Linked DNA regions of Macaca fascicularis. The protein of the gene in region 7 interacts with the protein of the main gene of each other region in a pairwise test. Links are inferred from orthologs where the notes say so. Each region holds a gene or a part of one and is shown on either strand. Other genes may lie near its edges.

The links.
Region 1: the proteins of TLE5 (region 7) and TRIM41 interact in binary tests that used the Homo sapiens proteins (3 or more experiments, as listed by UniProt). The two-hybrid records come from large-scale screens. The link is inferred for Macaca fascicularis from reciprocal best matches to the Homo sapiens genes TLE5 and TRIM41.
Region 2: the proteins of TLE5 (region 7) and TRIM26 interact in binary tests that used the Homo sapiens proteins (3 or more experiments, as listed by UniProt). The two-hybrid records come from large-scale screens. The link is inferred for Macaca fascicularis from reciprocal best matches to the Homo sapiens genes TLE5 and TRIM26.
Region 3: the proteins of TLE5 (region 7) and BHLHE40 interact in binary tests that used the Homo sapiens proteins (3 or more experiments, as listed by UniProt). The two-hybrid records come from large-scale screens. The link is inferred for Macaca fascicularis from reciprocal best matches to the Homo sapiens genes TLE5 and BHLHE40.
Region 4: the proteins of TLE5 (region 7) and SCNM1 interact in binary tests that used the Homo sapiens proteins (3 or more experiments, as listed by UniProt). The two-hybrid records come from large-scale screens. The link is inferred for Macaca fascicularis from reciprocal best matches to the Homo sapiens genes TLE5 and SCNM1.
Region 5: the proteins of TLE5 (region 7) and STX11 interact in binary tests that used the Homo sapiens proteins (3 or more experiments, as listed by UniProt). The two-hybrid records come from large-scale screens. The link is inferred for Macaca fascicularis from reciprocal best matches to the Homo sapiens genes TLE5 and STX11.
Region 6: the proteins of TLE5 (region 7) and SOX5 interact in binary tests that used the Homo sapiens proteins (3 or more experiments, as listed by UniProt). The two-hybrid records come from large-scale screens. The link is inferred for Macaca fascicularis from reciprocal best matches to the Homo sapiens genes TLE5 and SOX5.

Annotation. Positions count from the first base shown.
Region 1 is NC_088380.1:188,317,466-188,321,664, forward strand, and holds the start of TRIM41 (E3 ubiquitin-protein ligase TRIM41), read left to right. Parts: upstream 1-1,399; 5' UTR 1,400-1,823; coding exon 1,824-2,924; intron 2,925-4,199.
Region 2 is NC_088378.1:142,476,630-142,479,400, forward strand, and holds the end of TRIM26 (tripartite motif-containing protein 26), read left to right. Parts: exon of another isoform or gene 1-128; intron 129-168; coding exon 169-851; 3' UTR 852-2,271; downstream 2,272-2,771.
Region 3 is NC_088376.1:143,199,272-143,203,460, forward strand, and holds the start of BHLHE40 (class E basic helix-loop-helix protein 40), read left to right. Parts: upstream 1-1,389; 5' UTR 1,390-1,667; coding exon 1,668-1,747; intron 1,748-1,910; coding exon 1,911-1,980; intron 1,981-2,241; coding exon 2,242-2,349; intron 2,350-3,249; coding exon 3,250-3,373; intron 3,374-4,189. UniProt on the Homo sapiens protein: Transcriptional repressor involved in the regulation of the circadian rhythm by negatively regulating the activity of the clock genes and clock-controlled genes.
Region 4 is NC_088375.1:110,052,990-110,057,000, reverse strand, and holds the start of SCNM1 (sodium channel modifier 1), read left to right. Parts: upstream 1-1,211; 5' UTR 1,212-1,220; coding exon 1,221-1,271; exon of another isoform or gene 1,272-1,320; intron 1,321-1,545; coding exon 1,546-1,616; intron 1,617-1,972; coding exon 1,973-2,061; intron 2,062-2,158; coding exon 2,159-2,256; intron 2,257-2,363; coding exon 2,364-2,452; intron 2,453-3,467; exon of another isoform or gene 3,468-3,486; coding exon 3,487-3,681; intron 3,682-4,011. Other genes in the region: LYSMD1 (lysM and putative peptidoglycan-binding domain-containing protein 1), read right to left, coding at 148-327. UniProt on the Homo sapiens protein: As a component of the minor spliceosome, involved in the splicing of U12-type introns in pre-mRNAs. Plays a role in the regulation of primary cilia length and Hedgehog signaling.
Region 5 is NC_088378.1:48,361,255-48,365,211, forward strand, and holds the start of STX11 (syntaxin-11), read left to right. Parts: upstream 1-1,157; 5' UTR 1,158-1,348; intron 1,349-1,774; 5' UTR 1,775-2,081; intron 2,082-3,957. UniProt on the Homo sapiens protein: SNARE that acts to regulate protein transport between late endosomes and the trans-Golgi network.
Region 6 is NC_088385.1:26,250,571-26,254,070, reverse strand, and holds part of SOX5 (transcription factor SOX-5), read left to right. Parts: intron 1-1,289; coding exon 1,290-1,593; 3' UTR 1,594-3,500.
Region 7 is NC_088393.1:3,755,860-3,759,359, reverse strand, and holds part of TLE5 (TLE family member 5), read left to right. Parts: intron 1-347; coding exon 348-392; intron 393-993; coding exon 994-1,056; intron 1,057-2,520; coding exon 2,521-2,595; intron 2,596-2,674; coding exon 2,675-2,896; 3' UTR 2,897-3,500. UniProt on the Homo sapiens protein: Transcriptional corepressor. Acts as a dominant repressor towards other family members. Inhibits NF-kappa-B-regulated gene expression. May be required for the initiation and maintenance of the differentiated state.

The DNA.
Region 1 (4,199 bases), on a different chromosome or scaffold from region 7:
GATCTTGGTCCAGAAGATACCGTTCGTGCACTTAGGTAACACGGCTTGCCTTACCCTTTCCAAAAGGAACTCCGCCCAACGTGGGGCTCGAACCCACGACCCTGAGATTAAGAGTCTCATGCTCTACCGACTGAGCTAGCCGGGCAGCTTGGCCAACATTATAACTTTGTCTCTGAAGACGGAGGTTGCCCGCAGAGGTGTAGGCACGTTTCCAATGTACAAGTACTAAGAAGCGCCTGCGTCTGGCTCTGTTCTAGGTACTAGGGCCGAGGATCTGAAATCTACGGATTCCTTTGCATGTGATGGCTGCATAGGCTTCAGAAGGGAAGAGCAAGAGATTAGGTGAGGTGTAAAACCTGAATTTACACTGCGAGAATTTATTAAGGACGTGGTATGAGTTCGTGTTCCTCCGAAGCGCAGGCCACACATGTCCTTCCAACCCGGTAACCTGGCCTCGGGAGAGAAATTCTCCTGAACAGGCCCCAAAAAAACGTGTTTCCGCCCGGTTTCGAACCGGGGACCTTTCGCGTGTGAGGCGAACGTGATAACCACTACACTACGGAAACCGCCTGAGCTAACGTTTCTCCAGCATCGTCCTGAAGATACACGTGGCTGCGAAGGCCAGGAAGGCGCTAGGCCCTCGCCCTCGTGGGACAGACCCAGGGACCCCTGCCGCGGCCGGCTAAGTGGTGTCCAGGTTCTGGAGCCAGACTTGTCTACCGCAGCCGGGTCCGCAGCTCCTGTAATGGCCGAGCATAGTTCACCCACGAGTGTTCGTGGTTTTTGGCGCGTTTGATCTGACATCCTCAGAGGCCTGACCAGACCCCTCTAGGAAGCACGACGTCCCCCTGGAGTTTTCCCGCGAGCCGCCTCTCCGAGAGCAGGGTAAGTAGGTCCTGTAGGCCCAGCCCTGGCGTCACGCCGTGTCTGGCACTCACTGGAGATTCTGTACATAAATCATTGCCTCGTCATTTTCCTCGCATCAAACAACATTTATTTGTTTTTTATTATGTATCGACATCAAATCTCTATAAAAATAAATTTTAAAGAGCTATTTAAGCACCAAGTATTATTTCTACTGCACAAAGCATCTATTTTTGCGGAGATGCTGTGCGAATGTAGATGTAATGATTCGTCACCACTTCTTTACTGCTGGGCAGTTAGGGAAGTTCATCTAAACCATGAGACTGTGTCCGGTTGGCAGTTTCCACCTTGGATGCGGAACGCCGACTACAGTTGGGGAAGGGTTGGGCGTCTGCGGCCCGATCGGCCAAGCGCTTTCTCAGGCCCCGCCCCCGGTCCGAGCCGTACGACCCTCTGAGTCCTCCACAACAAAGTCTTCTGCCTAGAAGGGCCGGAAGTACTTCAGGGCGCTCCGCGGACCCACCCCCTCGCTTCCGGCATTGGCGGTGCGGCGTACCGGCTGCAGTCGGCTGTGTCGGGAGGGTAGGATGGCGCCTGGCCGATGCGGTCATAGCACCGAAAGCAGACGGCCACCAAGCGCTCCCCCCACCCCCCGAAGTTTCTCCCCAGCGGCGGGGGATGGGGGTAGGCGGTTCCTCTGTTCTTTCTGCGTTCGCCGCGGTCCCGCACCACAGAGACGTGGGCCTCCACCGTCCTAGCCCTACCGCCCTGTTCTGTAGTGCGGGCTAGAGCGTCTCCTTGCCATTTCCTGTCGCCCTGGGGCCCCGCGGGGGAAAAAGGGGGAGTAGCACGACAGCGGAGGGAAGTCGAGAGCTTAGGTGGTGTGTAGACGCCGGAAGTATTGGGAAGGAGGCCGGAAGCTAGGGGCGGGGCCAGGAAGTGAGGAGGGGCGGGGGTTTATGAGGAGTCCAAGGAGCATAGGGGCAGATTTGCACTCAGAGCCACCTGAGGGACTTGGCGGTGGTGCCCAGCACTGTCCCCTCCCCTCGCAGAGACGCGGTTGTCGTTTGGGAGTAGGGAACACTGTGTGGCGGGGTGGGTTGGCGGGAGGACATCTCTCTGGCTGCCCTTGGGGCGAGGTGTGGAGGGGCAGGGCTGGGGGTGGAGCCGGGTCGCCAGGGCGTCGGTGGGGAAGACCCCCGCCCCTCGCCCCCCCACCGCACCTCTACACTGGCTGGCTGGACACTAAGATGGCTGCCGTTGCCATGACACCCAACCCTGTGCAGACCCTTCAGGAGGAGGCGGTGTGCGCCATCTGCCTCGATTACTTCACGGACCCCGTGTCCATCGGCTGCGGGCACAACTTCTGCCGAGTTTGTGTAACCCAGTTGTGGGGTGGGGAGGATGAGGAGGACAGAGATGAGTTAGATCGGGAGGAGGAGGAGGAGGACGGAGAGGAGGAGGAAGTGGAGGCTGTGGGGGCTGGCGCGGGGTGGGACACCCCCATGCGGGATGAAGACTACGAGGGTGACATGGAGGAGGAGGTCGAGGAGGAAGAAGAGGGTGTGTTCTGGACCAGTGGCATGAGCAGGTCCAGCTGGGACAACATGGACTATGTGTGGGAGGAGGAGGACGAAGAAGAAGACCTGGACTACTACCTGGGGGACATGGAGGAGGACCTGAGGGGGGAGGATGAGGAGGACGAGGAGGAAGTGCTGGAGGAGGATGAGGAAGAGGATCTAGACCCCGTCACCCCACTGCCCCCGCCTCCAGCCCCTCGGAGGTGCTTCACATGCCCCCAGTGCCGAAAGAGCTTTCCTCGGCGGAGCTTCCGCCCCAACCTGCAGCTGGCCAATATGGTCCAGGTGATTCGGCAGATGCACCCAACCCCTGGTCGAGGGAGCCGTGTGAGTGATCAGGGCATCTGTCCCAAACACCAAGAAGCCCTGAAGCTCTTCTGCGAGGTAGACGAAGAGGCCATCTGTGTGGTGTGCCGAGAATCCAGGAGCCACAAACAGCACAGCGTGGTGCCATTGGAGGAGGTGGTGCAGGAGTACAAGGTGAGAGAAGTACCGAGAGAAGATGGGAGTTTAGTCGGGGGCGGAGAGGAAGTAAGGGGAGCTGAGGAAAGGAAACATCTCTTCGCCCATCAAAGAACCTCATGGTATTGATGAGCTGAGTTTGCTTGTCTAAGCACTTACTGCCAGCAAGGTGGGTTAGAATGAGAAGGATTCTGTACGCAGAGCAGATGCAGTGAAGACGACCAGTCTTCATTTGCTTTGATGGCTTCCTCAAAGCCAATAGAGCAAAGCCGGTGATGCCAGATCAGGTCTCTAGAACTTTACCAGCAGTCTGGCTTGCTTTCTGGTGAGTCTTAAGTCTGTCCTTGACGGAGACACCTAGAGATGGAAAGAACTGGGGGCTTCAAAGGACAAGGAAAGGCTCAGAAGCAGGAACACAGAGATAACCGCTAGTGTCAGTGTCAGACCCAAATGCCCTGCCCTTGCCTCCCAGTGGGTTCCCCACCCACCACGATGTGGTTTGGTTCTGCCTTCAAGGACTTTTGTTGGCTCTGTGTCACTCTTCTGTACTGACTAGAAAAGAGCTTTTCAGTCAGAAGACCTGGCTCTGCAAGTCGCACTGTCAAATCTTGTTTGTCTCTGTGTGTCTTTGAACTTTAATTTATCCAGGATTGATAGTTAATATTCTCTGGACATTTGTATACCAGGCACTGTACTAGGCAATTTTCATGGACCGTCTCTTTAAAACCCAAACAACACTGTGAGTTTGATATGTTTTCCATTCCCATTTTATAGATTGGGAAAGAGAGTCAGAGGCTTTAAGTACCATACAGAGGACCACAGAGCTTCAGTAATAATTGACTTAGTTATTTGCTGACCCTTCCCCTGGTGTATACTAACAACGCCACCACCATTTGGATGTCTGTTGTTTGACTTTTCTGATGTGACTTTCTTGGAGTCTGATTCTAGTTTGACAAATATCTTGCCCCTACTTCTCATTTTGACTTTCCTTTGGACATAGGTAAAGGAGATTTGTCTGCAAGGCAGCCAGCACAAATAGCACTACTTAGTGAAGGCCTGGATGGGTTTGGAGCAGTGGGACCAGGAGGAGGAGAGGGTAGCCTCTGTGTGGTCTGCTCAGAGCTTGTTTGTTTTATGACTCATGTTTTCACACCTGATTTCCTGCCATAACTTCATTTAGGTACTGTTTTTGTTACCCCAATTTTAGAGTAATGTGTGTAGGACTTCTCAGCCCTGAGTGGTACAGCTAGACAAACCTACATTACTTCATCACAAGTAACTATTGCTTCTACG
Region 2 (2,771 bases), on a different chromosome or scaffold from region 7:
CAAAGCCAGAAAATGTGTCACACTTATACCAAATTAAGGATGTTACGTTACTAATATATGCAACTTTAATTTTGTTTAACACTGTCTGCCAAAATAAATTTTATTCCCTCTAACTTAAAAAAACAAAACAGTGATGTTGTTTGTTTTTTTTTCCCCTTGTCCCCACAGTGAGTGTCACCCTGGACCCACAGTCGGCCAGTGGGTACCTGCAGCTGTCAGAGGACTGGAAGTGCGTGACCTACACCAGCTTGTACAAGAGTGCCTACCTGCACCCCCAGCAGTTTGACTGTGAGCCTGGGGTGCTGGGCAGCAAGGGCTTCACCTGGGGCAAGGTCTACTGGGAAGTGGAAGTGGAGAGGGAGGGCTGGTCTGAGGATGAAGAAGATGGGGATGAGGAGGAAGAAGGAGAAGAGGAGGAAGAGGAAGAGGAGGCCGGCTATGGGGATGGATACGATGACTGGGAAACAGACGAAGATGAGGAATCGTTGGGCGATGAAGAGGAAGAAGAGGAGGAGGAAGAGGAGGAAGTTCTGGAAAGCTGCATGGTAGGGGTGGCCAGAGACTCTATGAAGAGGAAGGGAGACCTCTCCCTGCGGCCAGAGGATGGCGTGTGGGCACTGCGCCTCTCCTCTTCCGGCATCTGGGCCAACACCAGCCCCGAGGCCGAGCTTTTCCCAGCACTGCGGCCCCGGAGAGTGGGCATCGCCCTGGATTATGAAGGGGGCACTGTGACTTTCACCAACGCAGAGTCACAGGAACTCATCTACACCTTCACTGCCACCTTCACCCGGCGCCTGGTCCCCTTCCTGTGGCTCAAGTGGCCAGGAACGCGCCTCCTGCTGAGACCCTGAACCCTGACATCTGCCCCTGGCCCCACACCCTCAGATGCTTCACTTCTTTGGAATTCCAGGACTCTCAATGGGGGGAAGGGATGCCTGGCCTGAGCACCTGGAGCAGGGGACCCCATATCCACTGGCAGCCACCTCCCCGTCGCTCTGGCCCCCTGAGGTCTCACTCAGTGCTGTTGCTCCATCTACTGCCCTAATGGGGCTCTTCTCCCACCTCCTGCTGGTGTCCCGAGGGAACTTCTGACCCTGGAGCCCATGAGGGCTCCTTTCCTTTTTGACCACTACCTTGGCCCCGGCTCTGCACTCTCTGTGGAGTAAGGGCCTGACACAGCATTTTCTTGCCCACCGTGGCAAGACCTTGGAAAAAACAGTTGATTATGCCTAAGATCATTTTGCTGTCCTTAAACCCTACAGGTTCCTTCTTGCACAAATCCACTCTGGTGCCCGCCTTCCCTGGCGTTTTAAACAGACCGACCCCACCCCATCTCAGAGTTAAGCATACACGGCAATGCTGAAAATAAACAATGAAAATCCACTGAGGCTTCCCAAGCCATTTAAGGCCTGGAGTACCAGCGCATATCATCTCATGGGGTCCAGAGTGGAGTCCAGGCTTCTCTGAAACCAGGGCTGAGCATATTTCCATAGCCAAGGATGTGGGACTCCGTGGAGCTATCTGTGGTCTTAGAGAAGGATCCAGACATACACGGCTTTGGGGTACCAGCTGTGATCACTGATCAATAAATTATCTCTGGATTGGTCCTTGTGGGGGGAGTTTTAAGAATCCAGAACATCTTGCTCTTGATTAGCACATCCAAAAACACCAAGACAAATATCCAGTGGAACAGAACCTCCCCTGCCTGGGGAGTTCTGACCACGTTCCCCAGCAGGGTGTTAATCCACTGTCCCTGGCCCTACTCAGCCTCCAGGTTCCACTTTGCTAGGAGAGAGTGGAGATGGGAAGACAGGGAAAGGAAGGCAGCAGGAGGCCACAAGTCCACCAGGTCTTCATGTCAAGAGAGGGAGTAACGTGTCTCCTCATTGCCCACGGACCCAGCCTCTGTCCAGGCGCCCCTCATGGCCACAGTTTAACACAAGCTCCCTTGCTCCAGCCAAATTGATCTCCCAGTCTTGACCTTACCTATTCCAAATGCTCTGCCAGTCCCTGTTCATCCAAGTTTTAAGTCCTCCACCCTGTTGTAAGAGACTGTTCCGGGTCTCAGTGGTCTCTTGACCACCATTGTCTCAGAGCTGCCCACTTTGTGTGTGCCACATGCTGCCTGAGTCACATGTACATCTTATTTCTGCCTCTAGTTTTGTAAGCTCCTGGAGGGCGGATAACATCTTATACTACTCTTGTATTCTGATGGCACCTAGTGCAGTGCTGGGCACAGAGTAGGTGCTCAATAAAGACTTGTTGAATGAACAGTCTGGAAATGTATATCTGTAGGATCTATATGGTATCTCAAATGCCACCAGACCTCAGTCTGGCTACAGAGAAATTCCATTGATAGCAGTAGCCGAAGGTTTTCCTTCTGTGCCTTCTGTAACTATGTAACTTTGCTTTCTGTTCTCTGTTTGCACACGTGCTGTCATTTCTGGAAGTCCCTCAAAAAGAGCCTACTGCGGGACACAGACCATTTGTTGTGTGTCTCCACCTTGTTATTCCTCCTGCAGTGGTGCCCTTGAGCTGAAGTCCAGCATTTTGGAGCAAGTGATGACTCTCCCTGAGAAGGGAGACATCCAGTATAGCACCCCCAAAATTCTTCCTTGGAAAATAAGCACTGCCCCAGAGGAAATAGAATGTGCAGCCTTGCCTCCTAACACAGTCAACTGTTTTTCTTGTCCTTTCTGATTTTTTTTTTTTTTTTGAGACAGAGTCTCGCTTACCCAGGCTGGAGTACAGTGGCGCGATCTCGGCTCACT
Region 3 (4,189 bases), on a different chromosome or scaffold from region 7:
TCGGATTCATCAACAAACACAGCGCCTAGCACAGAGTAGGGGGCTCAACAAATATGTGTCGACTGCATGATTGCTAAGATTTTACTGTGTAACAGGCGGTTTTATTTCTTGTCTCTCTCATCCCTCCTGCCCTGGGTGCAGACCGCAAACAGCGCCGCCGAAGTTCCCAACAGGCAGGGAGAGGGCCGATCCGGGTTGGCACACCACGTCCCCGGGGTCTCAGTCCCTGGGTCAACGCAGAGGGGCTCGCGGTCCGCGGCGCTGCGACCTGAGCCCCGGCCACGTGAAGCGTCACGCCCTGCGCTGCTGCAGGGCAGGCGCCGCCGCCGCGGTTGTGTAACGCTGCAGCCGGAGGGGAGGCGACCCGGGCGCCTCTGCTCTGGAGGGGGCAGAGGAGGGAGGGAACACCGGGCACCGTGCCCGGTATCTTTCTGTGCTTGACTGGCCGGGAGGAAGGGGGTGACACTGGGGCACCCAGGGGGCTGCGCAACCAGGTGCCCGCCCGCCCGCAGGCTGTGCCCGGGAGCGGAGCTCCTGGGGAGCGAGGGGCCCTCGGCTCACACCCTCCTCGGTCAGGTGCGCGCGGCGTGCTCGGCGGCAGCCTCAGCTGCCCCTGCGCTTGGCTGTCTGCCCGCTTCCCATGGGGTGACATCCGCCCCGCCCCTCGGTCCCTCCCCAAGGCGGGCAATTCCTGGACGCGAGGGTGAGCAGTGGGGGCAGGGAAGCCAGGACGGAAAGAAACCCCAGCCTCTGGGGAAGGCTGGGGGGCCGGGCGACTCCCTCCGCTGAGCGCCGGTTCCTCCAAGCGGGCCGGGCGGGGGAGGAGGAAGAGGGCTGGGCTGGAGCTAGCAAGGGGATATTCCTCTCCCGGCTTGAGTCAGACGCGGGCGGATCCGTCCTCCCCCGTTCCCTCCCAGGAGACGGGAACTTACTTCATTTCCCTGGGGCAGGTTCGCCCACGTTACCAACTCTCCCCCTCCCCCAGCAGCCCCGTCCCTTTCAGCTTCCGCGCCCCCCACCCAACTGGGCAGGACCCAGGTTGCGCTGCCACCCCCTCTTCGGGGAAAGGCGGCCGCAGCCGCAGACACCTGGGGGCCGGGGCTGGGGGTGGGGGCTCCCTAGCAGCCGCCGGAGCGTTGTCCAACACGTGAGACTCATGTGATGAAGCCGGGGGAGGGCGGGCAGGTCGCTCCTTCCCTCCCCGGCAGTGGCCAGACGTGCCTGGAGTCACAGGGTAGAACACGTAGCTCCAACCCACCCACTCGCTCCCATTTAACCCAGCCCGCAGCCTCTCCATTACTCCTCGGCTTGTGCCCCCACCCCCCCTACTCCGCCCTAACCGCCCCCCCCCACCCGCTCCCTCCCGCCTCCCCGCCCGCCCCACTTCTCATTCACTTGGCTCGCACGGCGCAGACCGCGCAGGGAGCACACACCGCCAGTCTGTGCGCTGAGTTGGAGCCAGAGGCCGCGGGGACACCGGGCCATGCACGCCCCCAACTGAAGCTGCATCTCAAAGCCGAAGATTCCAGCAGCCCAGGGGATTTCAAAGAGCTCAGACTCAGAGGAACATCTGCGGAGAGACCCCCGAAGCCCGCTCCAGGACAGTCCTCATCCAGACGCTCCGCTAGAGCAGACAGGAGCGCGCAGTGGCCCCGGCTCGCCGCACCATGGAGCGGATCCCCAGCGCGCAACCACCCCCCGCCTGCCTGCCCAAAGCACCGGGACTGGAGCACGGAGACCTACCAGGGTAAGTTGGCACTCCTTGGCCCTTCAAGCCTCAACTCCAGCCCCATGTTATGCGCCACTCTCAACTTGGAGCAGCTCCGGGCGCACCGGGGGGTTCTTGCCCGGCAGAACGCCTGCAGCCGTGCGCAAGCAGTCACGACCCTTCCTGGTCTCTCTTCCTGCAGGATGGATTTTGCCCACATGTACCAAGTGTACAAGTCAAGACGGGGAATAAAGCGGAGCGAGGACAGCAAGGTAAGCAAGTGCACCCCTGGGGACCCTGCGCTCAGCCCCTCGCGCGCGCTGAGTTTCCAAGAAAAGTTTTCTCGCTTTGAGGTTGGCGAGGGTATGCAGGGTGTGGGCTCGGTGCCTCTTCTGAGTGACTTGGAAAAGAAGGGGCAGATGATGGTTCTGGGTGCTATTCTGCTCCTCTGCCGGACTCGTGCTGCGGGGCTGGGAGGATAGGCTTCTCATCTCCTTTCCCAAGCGCCCACCGCCTCCCCGTGCGTCTTGCAGGAGACCTACAAATTGCCGCACCGGCTCATCGAGAAAAAGAGACGTGACCGGATTAACGAGTGCATCGCCCAGCTGAAGGATCTCCTACCAGAACATCTCAAACTTACAGTAAGTGAGAAGCTGGCCCCTTTCCAACCCAGTCCTTTGCCCAGAGGGCGGGCGGGGGTCACTCGCCGCCTGCAGGTTCCGCGGGGAACTGCAGACCAGACGGGCGGATCAGAGCTGGCGGGTGGCTCTGTGGTGTGGTCCTCCTCCACAGTCCTTGCGTTTTCTGGCTGACTCATGCAAATGAGGCGAGAACCGCTTGGACCTCTCCAAGTTGGCTACAACACCAACTGGCCTTCCTTTTCAAGAGTTTAACTTCTGGTGATTTTCAGGATTCCCTAGTTTTTCTAACTTAAAGGAACACGCCAAGCAACACACACATTTACCCCTTTCCCTCCACCACTCCCCCCACCTTTTTTTTTGTTGTTAAATAAGTGGACTTGCTTTGGTGTGTGATTTTTACGGCCTGTCCTTTCTTGACAGTAGCCCTCAGCTACTTGGCAGCCTTTGGTTGGGGAAATGGAAAAAAAAAAAAAGTATTTTGGGAGGAACAAAAAAGCCTGAATGAGCTGGAAGTTCTGAAAGGGTGTAAGGAAAGAAGTAGGGAAAGCCTATTGGCTGCCAGACATAATAGAGGTCCCTCTCTGAGTTGACACCCCTGCAGAAAAATGTTATCTCTGGATTCCCCTGAGTTAAGGTCAGCAGAGGCTGCTGGAGAAATTTATCTGTCAAAGCGTTTTCCTGAGGTAGTTGCAGCTTCCAAAATGCCTCCAAAGAGAGATGGCACCCTTTTTTAAATTATTTAATCATATATATTTTATATATATGTGTGTTAGAACAGCCAACGAAGAAAGACTATCCACTTTTTTTTTTTTCTTTTAGAGACATTTCTCTTTGCTAAGAAATATCCCAAAGGTGGGACTTCTTTGACCTCACCGCTGACTAAGGCTCTTTTCCTTCTAGACTTTGGGTCACTTGGAAAAAGCAGTGGTTCTTGAACTTACCTTGAAGCATGTGAAAGCACTAACAAACCTAATTGATCAGCAGCAGCAGAAAATCATTGCCCTGCAGAGCGGTTTACAAGCTGGTGAGTGCTGATTCTGGCTCTCCTCTTTTTAAGAGTTTGAGCACAAATAGAGAGCCTGTGGGCTCAACATCTGATGGAATAAACATTACTGCAACAAACTGCTTATGCACCTTCATTGGGGGAGATGCAGTTTTATCTTTCCTAAAAGGTCAGACTTTTCATTTGAAATGCAGTGTGCCACCTGGCATGAATACGTATTAGTGAAATGATAAGATATTCCTGTGGCATTTTAGCTTGAGAGTCTCTGGGTTCTGGGAGATTTCCCTACTCCCTTTTAAAATGCCAAGGCACCTATAATTTGCCTTGTGGGTGTTTTACAGTTGGTCTTCTTAGCCCTCTTTCATTGGAGAAGAAATCGTGGGTATGCCCCAGTGTTTTCCTGTTTCTTTGCTTCCTTGTCACTTGGTGTGTGGTGTGATCCTGGCAGGATACAGCAGGAGTTTTTCCTGCATTTCATGTGGTTCCCTGAATAGCCACTAGGTATCATGGTAAATTGCACAATCTAGCGAAACCACTGAAGTTTCATCATTCGTTTCAACAGACTTCCAGATAATCGGAGTCACCTAACCTTCTAGTCTCACTTCTTCCAAATAATACTGTACTGACTGGGGAGAATTATTCTACCCACTCCCTCATTTCATTCTCTGCCTTCCTCTCCAAGGCTCGTATGATGAAAATTGCAAAAACCCAGCAAATGCTTCTGCCAGTTTCCTCATTAAAAATAGGAAGATGGTCATACCTAATGTCTTGAGGATCATGGATAGAATATGTGGAAAAGATATAGAAATAGAGAGCCTAATTAAAGATAACAGCATG
Region 4 (4,011 bases), on a different chromosome or scaffold from region 7:
CTGTGATGGGAAAACAAAGATAAAGGCAGAACAGAGTTCAACACATTAGGAACATTTCAGGGGAGGTTACCTAGAAGGTCCACTACATTCTTCTCAGGACTAAATCCCTCCTGACTCTTGTCTGCACCCCAATCCTGGAAAACTCACCGTCACCCCATATTTGAGTGCTAGTCCAGCCAGGGTGTCTCCGGGCTCCAACTGATGCTCCAGGCGTCTTTCCCTCACTGGGGAGCAGGCCGATTGCACCAGGCTTCCATATGAACGAGCCCGGCTCCCGTGAAGCAGTCCTGACCCCCCTGGCGGGGGCTGTCTAGACGGGGAAGCCATCTCTTCACCCTGCCGACAGCTAGGTTGCAACTAGGGGAGGCCCGACCGAGACTGCGAGTGACAGGCCTGAAGTCTGGGAATAGATATTCAGGGGATTCCTTTCCCCTTCTCTCTTCCCCTGTGTCCCCGCCTCCCCAGCACTACGCCACCTGCCCCCTCCCGGTTTCTCCTCCCTCCAACTCCTTATCCACAAATCTGTCCCTTGAGTATTCAGTCCCTCCCTGATTCGCCCCTAAGCACCCCTCCGACTTTGAACTCCCCCACAACTCCTCGCTACATTGACCTCTGACCTTTGAACTCTAGAAATAATCCTCAACACTCTTTCCTCAGTTTGCCCCCAAGTAGCCTGGCCTCAGGGCGCTCCCACATCCCAGCTCTGCCCGGTCCCGGGGTTTGTTTGCTAGAGCCAGGAACAAATCAGGCCCACCCCAGGTGAACTGTCGCCGCAGACGAAGAGCGTGAGGATTGCGAGAATTTGTAGTACACCTTCCACTCAGAGATCCTCACAGGTCCGCTCCGCATCAGATAGGTCACACCCTCAAATTTCGGCTCCACATCTAGGTTCTTGTCCCTCTAAACGCCTCAGATCCACCAAGATGCAAGGGCCTGGATCCAGCTGAGCGGCAAGGTCTTTGAGGAAAAGACTTCATTTCCCAAAAGGCGTCGCGTCTGCAGAGTCGCACGGCACCATAGGAAATGCAGTTCCCTCCACGCGCCAGAGAGTGGATATCCGGATGGCGCAATGCATGCGTGGAAGTGCATTCCCGGAAGTACGGGGGCCGACAGGAAGACAAAGAGAAAAGAGAAGGCGCTGTCCCGCTCTTGCTACGGTGGCCTAGAGGAGTGGCGAAACCGGAACAAGAAAATTTATCACTCTGGGACTCACAGTCGTGATGTCTTTCAAGAGGGAAGGAGACGATTGGAGTCAACTCAATGTGCTCAAAGTAAGCGTGAGCGGAGAGGATCTGCAGCCTCTTCAGTCGCTCTCTGAAGGTTGGGAAGGAGCGTTGTTTCATTGCTCTGGCAACAACTCGGGGGTGCAGGAGAGAACCAGGCGACTTAGAGCTGTGTAGTGACTCCTTTTTCGGTCTATGATCGCTGTTCTCCCCAGGGTCCTTATGTCCTTATTCCGTTTGACTCCTCATTTCTGTCATTTAACTTCCATCCCTCTCTCCTATCCTGCTGATCCGTCCGGATTTCTTCCCCTACTCCCTGCAGAAAAGAAGAGTCGGGGACCTCCTCGCCAGTTACATCCCAGAGGATGAGGCGCTGATGCTTCGGGATGGACGGTAAGAGCGAGGAGTGGCTCAAGCCTGAGGGTTTTGCGGTTAGAGGCTCAATAGCTGTGTTGCCCAGGCTGTCCTTGAACTCTAGGGCTCAAGTGATCCTGCCTCCTCAGCGTCGCGATTAGCTGGGATTACAGGCGCACGCCACCACGCCCGGCTTCAACAAACTTTTGTTATTAATTAGGACAGCAGAAGTATCTAGGATTCTTTGGCGGCTAGTGAGGACTGGAAGAAGTGGAGATTGGGTCACCAGGGAGTTGGGTTTTGCAAAGACTGCTAGGACAGGGTGGGACTTACGGCAGGGACAGGCCCAACCCTCTTCCCCTGGACCAGTTATCCTCTTCTCTACCCCTGCTCAGCTTTGCTTGTGCCATCTGCCCCCATCGACCGGTACTGGACACCCTGGCCATGCTGACTGCCCACCGTGCAGGCAAGAAACATCTGTCCAGTAAGTTCGGGGGAAGACAGGGGATGGGGAATAAATCGAAATCTCTGCACACCAGCCTTGGTGCTATGCTTTTAATTCTGTTTCCCTTTCTCTTCAGGCTTGCAGCTTTTCTATGGCAAGAAGCAGCCGGGAAAGGAAAGGAAGCAGAATCCAAGACATCAGAATGAATTGAGGAGGGAAGAAACCAAAGCTGAGGTAATCAGAGAGTGGAGAGTGTGTTCTAGGCAAGACCCTGCTGCACACACCAGGCTGGAAGGGCAGAGGGCTGAAGGCTCTGACTCTGTCTCCCATCTTCTTACCAGGCTCCTCTGCTAACCCAGACACGACTTATCACCCAGAGTGCTCTGCACAGAGCTCCCCACTATAACAGTTGCTGCCGCCGGAAGTACAGGTATGGGAGGGGAAAGCCAGAGGTAGGAAGGCTCGGAAGGAGATAGAGGGCTCTGAAAGTGTTTTCCAGTCTGTATTCTGAGGAATACTAGCGTTCTGGAGATGTTACTTAGTGTTTCAAGAAAAGGAGAATTTTGGCCGGGCACGGTGGCTCACACCGGTAATCCCAGCACTTTTGGAGGCTTAGGCGGTGGATCACTTGAGATCAGGAGTTCAAGACCAGCCTGGCCAACATGGTGAAACCCCGTCTCTACCAAAAATATAAAAAATTAGCTGGGTGTGTGGTGTGTGCCTGTAATCCCAGCCACTCAAGAGGCTGAGGTGGAAGAATTGCTTGAATCCGGGAGGCAGAGGTTGCTGTGAGCCAGGATCATACCACTTCACTCCAGCCTAGGTGACAGAGTGAGACTCCATCTCAAAAGAAAAAGAAAAGGAGAATTTTGTGATTTTTAAATAAAGTTTGGGAAATGGCACTTTGTAATTCTACTTGAAGAGTAACAGTTTTAGGCCGGGCGCAGTGGCTCAAGCCTGTAATCCCAGCACTTTGGGAGGCCGAGACGGGTGGATCGCGAGGTCAGAAGATCGAGACCATCCTGGCTAACACGGTGAAACCCCGTCTCTACTAAAAAATACAAAAAACTAGCCGGGTGAGGTGGCGGGCGCCTGTATCCCAGCTACTCGGGAGGCTGAGGCAGGAGAATGGCGTAAACCCGGGAGGCGGAGCTTGCAGTGAGCTGAGATCTGGCCACTGCACCCCAGCCTGGGTGACAGAGCAAGACTCCATCTCAGAAAAAAAAAAAAAAAAAAAAAGAGTAACAGTTTTAAAAGCTATACAAAGTCTTAAGAATTAAAAAAAAAACTTGTAAAATTTAAAGCTAGCCTTTCCCAAATTCATGATTCTAAAATCCTTTGTATGCAGAACTTACTAATATCTTGAAAAATATAGTTTAAGAAACACTGTTTTAAGAGGTTGGGAGTCATAGGAGAGTTGGCCCTTTCCCTTACTGCTTTTACAGACTATTCTTCTCTACCTAGACCAGAAGCCCCTGGTCCCTCTGTCTCCCTTTCTCCTGTGCCACCCTCAGAGGTCGAACTCCAAAGCGGGAAGATCAGTAGGGAACCTGAACCTGGGGCTGGCCCACAGGCTGAGGAGTCAGCAACTGTCTCAGCCCCTGCACCCATGAGCCCCACAAGAAGACGAGCCCTGGACCATTATCTCACCCTTCGAAGGTGAGTGTGCCTAATCAGTTTCCTCAGATTTTCTTTTCTCTCTGACCCTTCTTGTTTCAAAGCTTTTTTTTTTTTTTTTTTTTTTTGAGACGGAGTCTCGCTCTGTCACCAGGCTGGAGTGCAGTGGTGTGATCTCATCTCAGCTCACTGCAACCTCCGCCTCCCAGGTTCAAGCGATTCCCCTGCCTCAACCTCTCGAGTAGCTGGGATTACAAGCATGTGCCACCATGCCTGGCTTATTTTTTGTATTTTAGTAGAGGCGGGGTTTCACTACGTTGGTGAGGATGGTCTCAATCTCCTGACCTTGTGATCCACCCACCTCGGCCTCCC
Region 5 (3,957 bases), on a different chromosome or scaffold from region 7:
CTTCGTTGCTCAATGGTTCCATCTTTGGCAACTGGGAGCTCTTTCAGGTGGTTCCTGTGTTTAAACATTCTCCCATCAAGACAGGATTCGTTTATTTTTATTTTTTATTTTTTTTCTTCTCATTCAATTGAGGCAGCGTCTCATTCTGTCGCCCAGGCTGGAGTGCAGTGGCGCGATCTCGGCTCACTGCATCCTTGACCTCCCGGCCTCAAGTGATCCTCCCACCTTAGCCTCCCGCGTAGCTGGGCTCACAGCGCGTGCCACCACGCCCAGTTAATTTTTTTTTATTTTTTGTAGAGATAGGCTTTCACCATATTGCTCTGGCTGGTCTCAAATTCCTGGGCTCAAGAGATCCGCCCCCTTCGGCCTCCCAAAGTGTTAGGATTACGGGCATGAGCTACCGCGCCCGGCCCGATTTTTCCTTTCTTGAGTATCACTTCCTTACTTTTCAGCCTCAGCCTTGTTTTTCAAGGTGCTTTACCATCACCTGACACAATCCACACTTTATGTTTATCTCTCCCCGTTAAAGTGCCGGGACCTGGAGGGAGGGTCTTGGCAGTGTTTTTGAGCGCGGTGTTATCCTGGGAATACAAGGGGCCGCTCAGTTGATATCCAGGGAATGATGAGCCTGGCGGGTGTTGAGGCCGACTGGAGATGGGTTGGCCAGCCGGGTTCTGGGAAGGCTGTGCTCGGCCTCTGTGTGACCGCAGGCTCCTCGCCCGCCTCCTCGAGGGTCCGGCGGATGCAGGACCTGCTGCAGCCTCCGCAGCCACACCCACGCTCAGAGACCGCTTCCAGCGTCCTTGCCGCAGAAACGCACCGGACTGCAAATGTCACCGGCGCAGCGGGGATTCCCGGGGAAAGTCCATCGCACTCCCTGATCTGGGGACCAGAGGATGAGCGGAGGAAGTGTCTTGGGCGGCTAACATCCCACTCCCTGCGCCGGTCCGCGCCGCCCCCGGGAACGCCCCGGGGCTCGCGGGAGGGGCTGGAGCGAGTCCCCGGCTCCGGGCGGTCCCGAGCGCACGGACTCCGGGTGGGGCGGGAACCCGTGCTCTGTGAGCCGGCTGCTGCCGCGCCCCGGCGCTGTCATCCCGGGGCGGGGCCTGGTCCCCAGCTGTGGTAGCTTCCTAAGCGGCGGGGGCTGAGCCGGCGGCGCCCAGATGCGGCCGCGGCGGCGCGGAGCTCGGGCGGCTGTGGAGGAGCCCAGCCTCGGCCGCAGGAGGCGCCGGGAGCAGAGCCGCCGGGAGTCGCGCAACAGGTTTCCTTCCCCATCGCGGCGCCCACAGGGGACGCGCGCCCTGCGGGGAGAGAGGCTTCTCAGTTCGCGCTCTTGTTCCGGGTCCAGGTTTGTTTTTCTCTCCCTGAGCCCCCATTTCTCTTTCTGACCCCCCATTTCTCTTCCTGACCCCCCATTTCTCTTCCTGACTATTCCCCGTGCGCTGAGAGATCCGGGAGGCGGGCGGGGGCACTGTCTGGGCTCGGGACCCGCGGCTGCACCTTAGTTGGGATTTTGGATCTGGCGCAGGTCCTCACGCCGCCTCTGGGCACCTTCGGAAACACAGGATTGGGTTCCTCATATAAAGCGGAATGATTTTTAAAAATTACTTTTAATTTCAGAGGCTGAGGGATTTAGGATTTAGTGCTTCACAGGAGTTATTTTAGGGATACCTGTCGGTAGGCTGCCTTTTAAAAGTGTCCACCTAAGACTAATTTTATTTTAAATCGAAAGACTGAAGTGTTTTTGTGTTATCACCTCTTCACTTCCTATTAGGGTGACTGTGTCAAAAACACCAGAATGGGTACTTCTTGACTTGAACTTGGCAGTGTCACTCAGTAGCCAAGAAAGACGGAGAAATTGATAGAGCCTTGGAGCAGTCCCTTCGCAGCCCACGTAAGACTTTGTTTTAGAAAAATGGAGAGAAGTAGTGGCAATGCCTGCGAGAACCACGCCGTCCTGAGAGGGAATTCTGCCTTTTTCTAGACTCCGCTGACACCAGCTGAGATCTGTATTACTTCCTGTGGTTCTCACGCGCTTGTTTCAGCCGTTTCTCAGCAAAGGGAGGAGCTGTTATTTACAGGTATCCAAAAATGAGTCACAGGGCTGCTCTCTTAATTGTGAGACTTTGTTAATGAACTTTTGAAAAGCGAGGCTTGCTCTGTCTGTATTTAAAATGAGACTGTAGATGTGAAATGCCTGCCCTGCTGACCTGGGGCAGTGGTATGGGAAGTGACGATTGAGTTTTCAGTTTCCTAAGGCGCCTGATGTTACAACATGCCAGTAAAGGTCACTGGGTTGATTTAAGATAACCATTAAAATCATGTGCTTTGCCTCAGAAGCCCGGGAGAAAATTAATTTCATTATTCAATGACCATTTTGCTACCATTTTCACTGAATAGTAGAAATGTATCATTTAATGTGGTGACTGTAAGTAACTCTCTAAAATCAAAATATTTCAGACAGTGTGTGTTTACTAAATTGATGCCAAAACCACATGGTGCTTTTTGAAGCGGGTGGGTACCCGCGGGAGCAGAGAAATTTAAAAGTTGAAGCTGACAGGCCCCACTGTGGTGGGTAGCAGCACCTAGGAAGGGACTGCACACTATCTCAACACGGTAGAGAAGGGAGCACCATCTCTACTGGAGCTGAGTTGAGCTGAATTCAGTCCCAAACAACAGTTAACAGGTACTTTCTCTGTGCCAGCCTCTTCCCTGAACCTTGCTTGTACAACCATGAATAATAGGATCCCGCTGACAAGGTGCTAGGGTAAATCTATACCCAGAGTGAAGTTTCTGTCCCAATATAACTCAATCTGCTGGGTTCCAGTGTATTTAAAGAGTAAACTCAGCAGATTACCATCCCTAGATCATTGCAGTCACCTTTAGTTAGCAGCGTGACTTTTAGGAAATGGTATGACTAATTAATAGGTTGTTTTGTTTTGTTTTTTGAGACAGAGTCTTACTCTCTTGCCCCAGACGGGAGTGTAGTGGTGCAATCTTGGCTCACTGCAACCTCCTCCTCCTGCGTTCAAGCAATTCTCGTGTTTCAGCCTTCCAAGTAGCTGGGACTACAGGCACCCACAACACCCAGCTGACTTTTGTATTTTTAGTAGGGACAAGTTTGGCCCTGTTGACCAGGCTGGTCTCGAACTACTGACCTCAGGTGATCTGCTTGCCTTGGCCTCCCAAAGTGCTGGTATTGCAGATGTGAGCCACCATGCCCTGCCTAATACTTTATAAATTTGTAACACTATATTGAAGCAAGTTTTTGATCATTGTTTTTGTAGTTCAAATCAATGTTTTTTAGCACATTATAGCCTTGTGAGCCAAAATGAATAAATCTACCATATCACAGTTTACTGTTACAATTGAAATCTGCTGAGACACTTTTGAACTTGATGCCCAAGTATCAAGGTTTCCAAGTTTCCACAGTTTGCTAAGATATCCAACTAATAAAGGCAACACTGCTAAATTTCAGACAACTTTACCTTAATTTCCAAACTTTATTCCTCCTTTGAGAGCCCTGAAGTTACTTTTTCTATGAGAAAGGGTTGAGTGTGTCATTCAGCATTGTACTCCCTGAACTTGTCCCAGGCTCGACTCATGAGAAGTGTTGGAAAGTGTTTATTGATGAAATAATGAACCTTCATGTAGGAGGATGAATTGGCAGGCAAGTGGAAGGCTCGGTGACCCAGCAGAAGGAACAGCACCCATAGAGAAGTGAAACAGCACTGGACATTCAGGAAACTCCAGCCTGTTTAGTGACAGCACAGAGCGAGGGCTGGGGAGACAGGAAGGGCCAGATCACAAAGGCCCCATGAGGGTTTATAGTACTGAGCCCTTTGAACAAGTGAATGATATTGTCAGGTGTGTGTTTAAAAAATTATAACAAAAATTGGAATTTAAAAAATCTTAGATTAGATGACAGTGGCATTGACTTTAGGGAGACACCTTGGA
Region 6 (3,500 bases), on a different chromosome or scaffold from region 7:
CAAAATAAAGTTGTTCATGTTTGAAACAGAAGTTAGTTTCTAAGAGCTTCTTAGAATAATAAATATTGTTCTAAATGTGGGCAGAGAAAAACTCATAAAAACCTTTTTAAATCTGCTCTGTCCCCTCCAGTTCCTTGGAATAGGCTGCATGCTCTGTCCAGGGCTCTGTGATATTGCAAGCATGTGACTCCTTACAAAGCTAAACACAGAGCCCAACAGTTCTTGGGCAAATACTAAACATATGAATGAATAAAAGCATAAATGAACATCATCTCTTCATCCCTTCCAATAGGACCACCTACGTTATTTATAGGACTAGGTGCAAAAATGAGGAGACAGGGTCTCTTGTTAAAAAGTTATTAAGAATTTCAAGTCTGTGGCAGCACAACTTGAAATCAAGTATGAGACCTTAGCATAGCTGCACAGTTTGTACATCCATGAAGCTGGTCCTGCCTCCTACCACTACAAGGCCAAAACTGTTTCAGAGACTCAGTGGATAGTGTGAATTTGTTCAGCTCTGCTGTGTTCTGGGCAGTAAAGTTTTATTTTGAGAACTCTAATGTTTTAGGATTTTCCCATTAAAATTTAATTATCTTTACATTTAATTCTGGGGAAAAATGCTATTTCTGTATGTTATAGTGAAGGAAAACTGAACTTGGAATTAATGACCTGGGTTCTTCTGCTTCAACTTTCTGCACCTCAGTTTTTTAATAAAACAGTAGTAACAAAACAGGATTAAGAATAAGATGGGACAACACATGTAAATGTCTTGTACTCTATGAAGCACTCCATAGAAGTACGGTATTAGGCCGGGCGCAGTGGCTCACGCCTATAATCCCAACACTTTGGGAGGCTGAGGCAGGCAGATCACCTGAGGTCAGGAGTTCGAGACCAGCCTGGCCAACATGGTGAAACCCCGTCTCTACTAAAAAGACAAAAATTAGCCAGGTGTGGAGGCAGATGCCTGTAATTCCAGCTACTTGGGAGGCTGAGGCAGGAGAATCGCTTGAACCCGGGAGGCAGAGGTTGCAGTGAGCCAAGGTCATGCCATTGCATTCCAGCGTGGGCAACAAAAGCAAAACTCCATCTCAAAAAAACACAAAAACAAAAACAAAAAAAACAACAAGGTATTAAAGTCAAAGTAGGATACAGTCTGAAAAATGTTGGGCAATTAGATAAAATTAGTACCTTAGAATTGGACATTGCTGAGCAAATTAATTATGTAATAAAGTCCACATCTAACTATTCACTCACCCATGATATCTTTTTGGGAATTCCTTTCTTGACAGGCAACAAGCACAGATCCCCATTGCCACTGCCGGTGTTGTGTACCCGGGAGCCATCGCCATGGCTGGAATGCCCTCCCCTCACCTGCCCTCGGAGCACTCAAGCGTGTCTAGCAGCCCAGAGCCTGGGATGCCTGTTATCCAGAGCACTTATGGTGTGAAAGGAGAGGAGCCACATATCAAAGAAGAGATACAGGCCGAGGACATCAATGGAGAAATTTATGATGAGTACGACGAGGAAGAGGATGATCCAGATGTAGATTATGGGAGTGACAGTGAAAACCATATTGCAGGACAAGCCAACTGATAAGGGTCAAAAGATTGTTGTGACCTTAGGACTTAAAGAAGCCCTAACTGGTTCATCCTTACCAGTGGCCAAGCACATTAACTTTCTCATACACTGACTGTTACTTTAACTGTTAGTCTTAAATAGTTGGGACATCAGCTGACTAATAGACCTCAGCCTCAAAAGGCTTGGAAAGAAAAAAAAATACAACAAGCAAACAACAATATCAACAACAAGAGATTGAAATAAGCTATGGGTAAAATAATGCCAGTAATTCAGCTGCTACATCCAAGCACTGAAGTCTTACCCGTCAACTTTTTTTTTTTTTTAAATAAACTTTATGGCTGTTTGTTCTACAATGTTCTAGAAATTCTCACTCAGGTACACAGTGCCAACAAGTGGCTTGTGAATGTGTTTTGTTGTTTTGTGCTACAATTTTTAAAAAGAAATAAGTTTTGTTTTGTTTTTTGGGGTTTCTGGGTTTTTTCCTTTTCTTTTTCTTTCCTTTCATTTTTTTTTCTTTGTAATGCACCTGACAGAAAAAAAAGAAAAATGAATTTCTCTTTACTTCTCTCCACCTTCTCCATCTCTATACTTTAAAGATGGAAGTCTGTGCATGAGGGGGAAGAGGGAAAAAGAGCCTGTTTTTAACTTCCTTGCTATCCACCACAAAATAAGCAATTATTTTCTTTAGAGGACTTTCTTTATCTATTGCACACCACACTACATCTTTGAGCAAGTGCCAAATTTGTACTGAAGTGTTGACCAAGTTCATTTTTTCCCTTTACTTTTTCCTGTTCCTTCTTAAGTTAGGACAGTGTTAAATCTTAGACAATCCCTGAAAAACCTGAAATACCAGCAGCTGGTGAGATTTGACTTTTTTTTTAATGGAAACTGTAGGTGCTGTTCTCAGGTGAAAAGAGAGAGAGAGACATAAGAAATTTAGAGAAAAATATTTTCTGATCTTGGATTTTTGTGTGTATGTATGTGTGTGATTATGGTACTAATAGGAATAACGTTGGACCATTGTGAGTTAAACCCACATCTGGGGATGAAATCCCACATCCTCCCAAGTGACTGGTCTAGAAATAATCTTGACCTTGACTTTGCACTTCAAATGACAACTTAACCAAGTATAGGGCTCAGAAATTATATTTTTAAATGTCTAATATGATGATTATTGGATGGATCAGGTGGCCCTGTGTAATAGAGGTGTGCATGTATAACATGGAAGCTACTAGCAAACTGCTCCCAGATGTCCTTTCTCCCTGGTCAGTTGGTTCCATTAACGTTTGCTACTTAGTGATTTTTGTTTTTCCTGTTGATATTTCGAGCAAAACAATCATTGTTTTCATTGAATATATTTGGCCATTTTTCAGACAAATAGAATTAGCTTATTTCTTCAACATTCCATCCTTTCCCGATCAGGAAATGAAACTGATGATTTTACAAGGTATTTTTCACCCCTCCATGAAACGAGGTGGAGGCCTTTAGCATTTCAGAAGTGTGGGCCATGTGTAGTTCATGCCATAAAAAGTAGGATTTAATTAAAAGTCATTGCAGTCCAACAAAATGGAGCCTGGCTGCACCCAGGGATTCTTGTCACTGCTCTTCCCTTGCTGTCAGATGAATCCACTGAAGTCCAACTTTGGTTCGAGCAGAGTATTTGCGAAGAGCAACAACTGAATGTGATGGGACTGCTTATGTAGATTTTGCCAGCCAAATGCCAAGGCAGTTGTAGGGCCTGTACAAATAAATGCAAAATCATTTCAAGTCAATTGCCATTATTTGTACTGAAGTATCAGATAGTAAATACTGCAACTAGTAGCTCGATGTGCTATAGTTTTCACTCCAGTCATCATTTTCCTATCTCACCCCCCGAAACACCACCCTAAAGTTGGATTTTTACATATAAATAATGAAAAAAA
Region 7 (3,500 bases):
GATCATAGAAAGATACAAGATTAGGAGCCCTGGAATGCGTGTTCTCGCGGTGCACACGGAGTGGGGGAGGAGCCAGGCCAGGGCTAGGGACCTAAAGTGCTTCCAGTCTCCATCCGCAGCCCCAGCAGGCCCCTTGCCCCTCTCCCGGGCTGGCTGGGACGCTGGGTGTGGGCGTCTCTCCCTCCTGCTCTTTCCCTCCCACCTGCCTCGTTTCTTTCCTGCCCTCAGCTGTCTCTTGCTCTCTCCCCCCTTTGTCTGTCTCTACCACTCCCTTATCTCTTTGTCTCCATGCCCCCCCATCCTTCCCTGCCCTCATCTCCCGCTCCCTCTCTCTCTCCCCCATACAGTACTATGAGATGTCCTACGGTTTGAACATCGAGATGCACAAACAGGTACGCCCATCTCCTCCTCCTCCTCCTTCTCCTTTCCCCCTCCTCCCCCTCTGCCCCCCGCCTCCAGCACCCCCTTGGGCACCCCCAGGCAGGTAGCAGCCGGCCTTTGGCTGGGCACCCAGCCAGCCCTGTTATCCTGTTACCTCCTAAGCCCTTCCCAAGCTCCCACTCTCCTCCCCACCGCCTCTTTCTCAGGCCTCCCTTGGAGTGTTTTCTGGGGGTGGCGGGAGAGGCGGAGACCTTCCCCACAACCTGTGGCCCCCAGCCCTCCCTACATTCCCACGAGCGCTCACTATCTGCCAGGGGCCTGAGTGGCCCAGCCCTGAGGAATGTAGCCGAGGAATGTGCAGTCTGGCCTCATCCTGCATTTACTGCACTCCAAGCTGCAGGCGACAGCCGGTCTCCAGCCCCACCTTTGCCACTGACTGGCTGCCCTTGGGCCCGAACACGGGTTTGCTCATCCCACCCTGGCCAGACCTAGCCCCTCTTAGAGAGAAGCCGCAAGTGGCAGGGCTGGGCTGGGCCCCGTGCGGGCCTCCTGGGGCTGGCCTGCACCTGCCACCCATCCAGGACTGACGCTGACTTCATCTGTGTGTTCCAGGCGGAGATTGTCAAAAGGCTGAACGGGATTTGTGCCCAGGTCCTGCCCTACCTCTCCCAAGAGGTAAGAGCCAGGGCCTCAGGGAGGGGGTGCCAGGGGGCCCTCCCCTTGCCCAGCCCCTGTCTGCTGCAACCATCTTGGGGGGCGTGCTGGGTGCCCCAGGGCACATGCCTCCCCTCTCTGGACCTCCCCGGCTCTGGGCACCAGAGCTGGCCTATGCAGAAGAATCCCTGGGCCAGAGACACTCCAGGGGTACAGGGGTGTGGGGGCCGGGCCTCACCCTGCTCTGGAATTCCCAGCTAGAGTGAGTCATGTCATAGGTAGAAATGTCGGATGGGCCAAAACTGCACCAGGAATGTTTTTTTCTCATCTCTTCCTCCTTTCACCCTCTTGAGAACATCCTTCAGGCCCTGCGGGTGGCACAGAACCAAAGACTAGAGGGTGTGTTGCGGGGATGGGGTAGCACAGGGCGGTCCCCCATGGACACAGCCACATAGATAGGTATGAGCACATCAACATACGGGAGATACACACACAGACGCAGACACACACGGATACACGGCGTGTGCAGACAGCACAGGGCCACACACGCAGGAATGTGCAGCTACACGTAAGCACATGTGATCCTGAGCACACACTACCACATGCACACACACCCAGAGGAACCTGATGCCCAGCTTCTCTTCTCCTTTCTTGGGTTCTGAGGCTCAGGATGCAAGGCTGCCCCTCCCCAGGGCCATGTAAGGCCCATCTCCTGTCCCTGCCAAGTTTACTGTCAAAAATTTGTAATTTCCTCTTTAATCGCTGTATCTCAGGATCCTTTGGGTGCCCTGCTTTGCCCAGGGACAAGTCTAGAAGGACCCAATGAAAGCCCTAGAGAAAAGGGCAATTGGAACTCTTCAGAACGGAGGCTTCCTGGTGGCCAAAGCAAAAAGGGAGATTGATAGATTCTAGCATCTGCTGGCCACAGAGTCAGGTGTTTGGGGAGAGCTGGGGGAGGAACTGCCCTGAACCTAGGCCCATTCCCCAGCTGGCTCTGCCAGAATTCATTGGGCCCTCTCCAGCCATGGTAGGAGAAGGGCTCAATTTGGCCGGACTCAGGGCACAGTCTTGGAGCTCCTAGGATCAGGACATCCCTGTACAGTTGGGCAGGTTGTGTACTGCACAAATATTCACGTCTTTCACGTCTTTGTACATGGCTGCGGACATAGGATAGGTCAGGATCCGGGGTTTCTCCCAGACTCACTCAAAGGCCGTTTTCTAACTACTTGGCACAAAACCCTTTTAATCGTTTTCTGCACTTTTCCATTTATCTCCATTGGCCAGATGAAGAGACGAGCTTGGTGAAAGGAAGCAGTTGGAGAGAGGGAAGGCGCTTTCTGATGGGGTTGAAAACCACTGGGAGGAGCAGACATGATGGCCCCCTTGGTAGCGGGGCTCCTCCTGGCCCCAGGGTAGCCACCGCCTCCTCTCTCAGTCAGGATCAGGAGGAATCACTGCCTCTCCTCTCTCCTCACCCCCTTCCAGCACCAGCAGCAGGTCTTGGGAGCCATCGAGAGGGCCAAGCAGGTCACCGCTCCTGAGTTGAACTCTATCATCCGAGTACGTATGGGGACCTGGGCGGGTGGGCGGGGGACAGGTGGGCCCTAGGCAGCTAACGTTCCCCTCCCCCGTCCTGCAGCAGCAGCTCCAAGCCCACCAGCTGTCCCAGCTGCAGGCCCTGGCCCTGCCCTTGACCCCACTGCCTGTGGGGCTGCAGCCGCCTTCGCTGCCGGCGGTCAGTGCAGGCACCGGCCTGCTCTCGCTGTCCGCGCTGGGTTCCCAGGCCCACCTCTCCAAGGAAGACAAGAACGGGCACGACGGTGACACCCACCAGGAGGATGACGGCGAGAAGTCGGATTAGCAGGGGGCCGGGACGGGGAGGGTGGGAGGGGGGACAGAGGGGAGACAGAGGCACGGAGAGAAAGAATGTTTAGCACAAGACACAGTGGAGCTCGGGATTGGCTAAACTCCCATAGTATTTATGGCGGCTGCCTGCGGAGGCCCCAGTCCGACTTGCAGGCCACCTCTAGCTTTCTTCCTACCCCAGTCCCGGCCTCCCTCCTCCTCCCCTGCAGCCTGGATAGGTGGATACCTGCCCTGACATGTGAGGCAAGCTGAGGCCTGGAGGGTCAGATGGGAGACCAGGTCCCAAGGGAGCAAGACCTCGAGAAGCCCAGAACCCCTGGCCATTCCCCTGTTTTGAACACGTGTAACTGACAGTCTGCCCGGGCCCCTCGGGGCACACGCCACTGCGCTCTCACCCTGGTACTGCATGCACGCAATGCTAGCTGCCCCTTTCCCATCCTGGGCACCCCGAGTCTCCCCCGACCCGGGGTCCCAGGTCTGCTCCCACCTCCACTTCCTGCCCCACTCACCACCTCTGCTAGTTCCAGACGCCTCCACGCCCACCTGGTCCTCTCCCATTGCCCACAAAAGAGGGGGCACGAGGGACGAGCTTAGCTGTG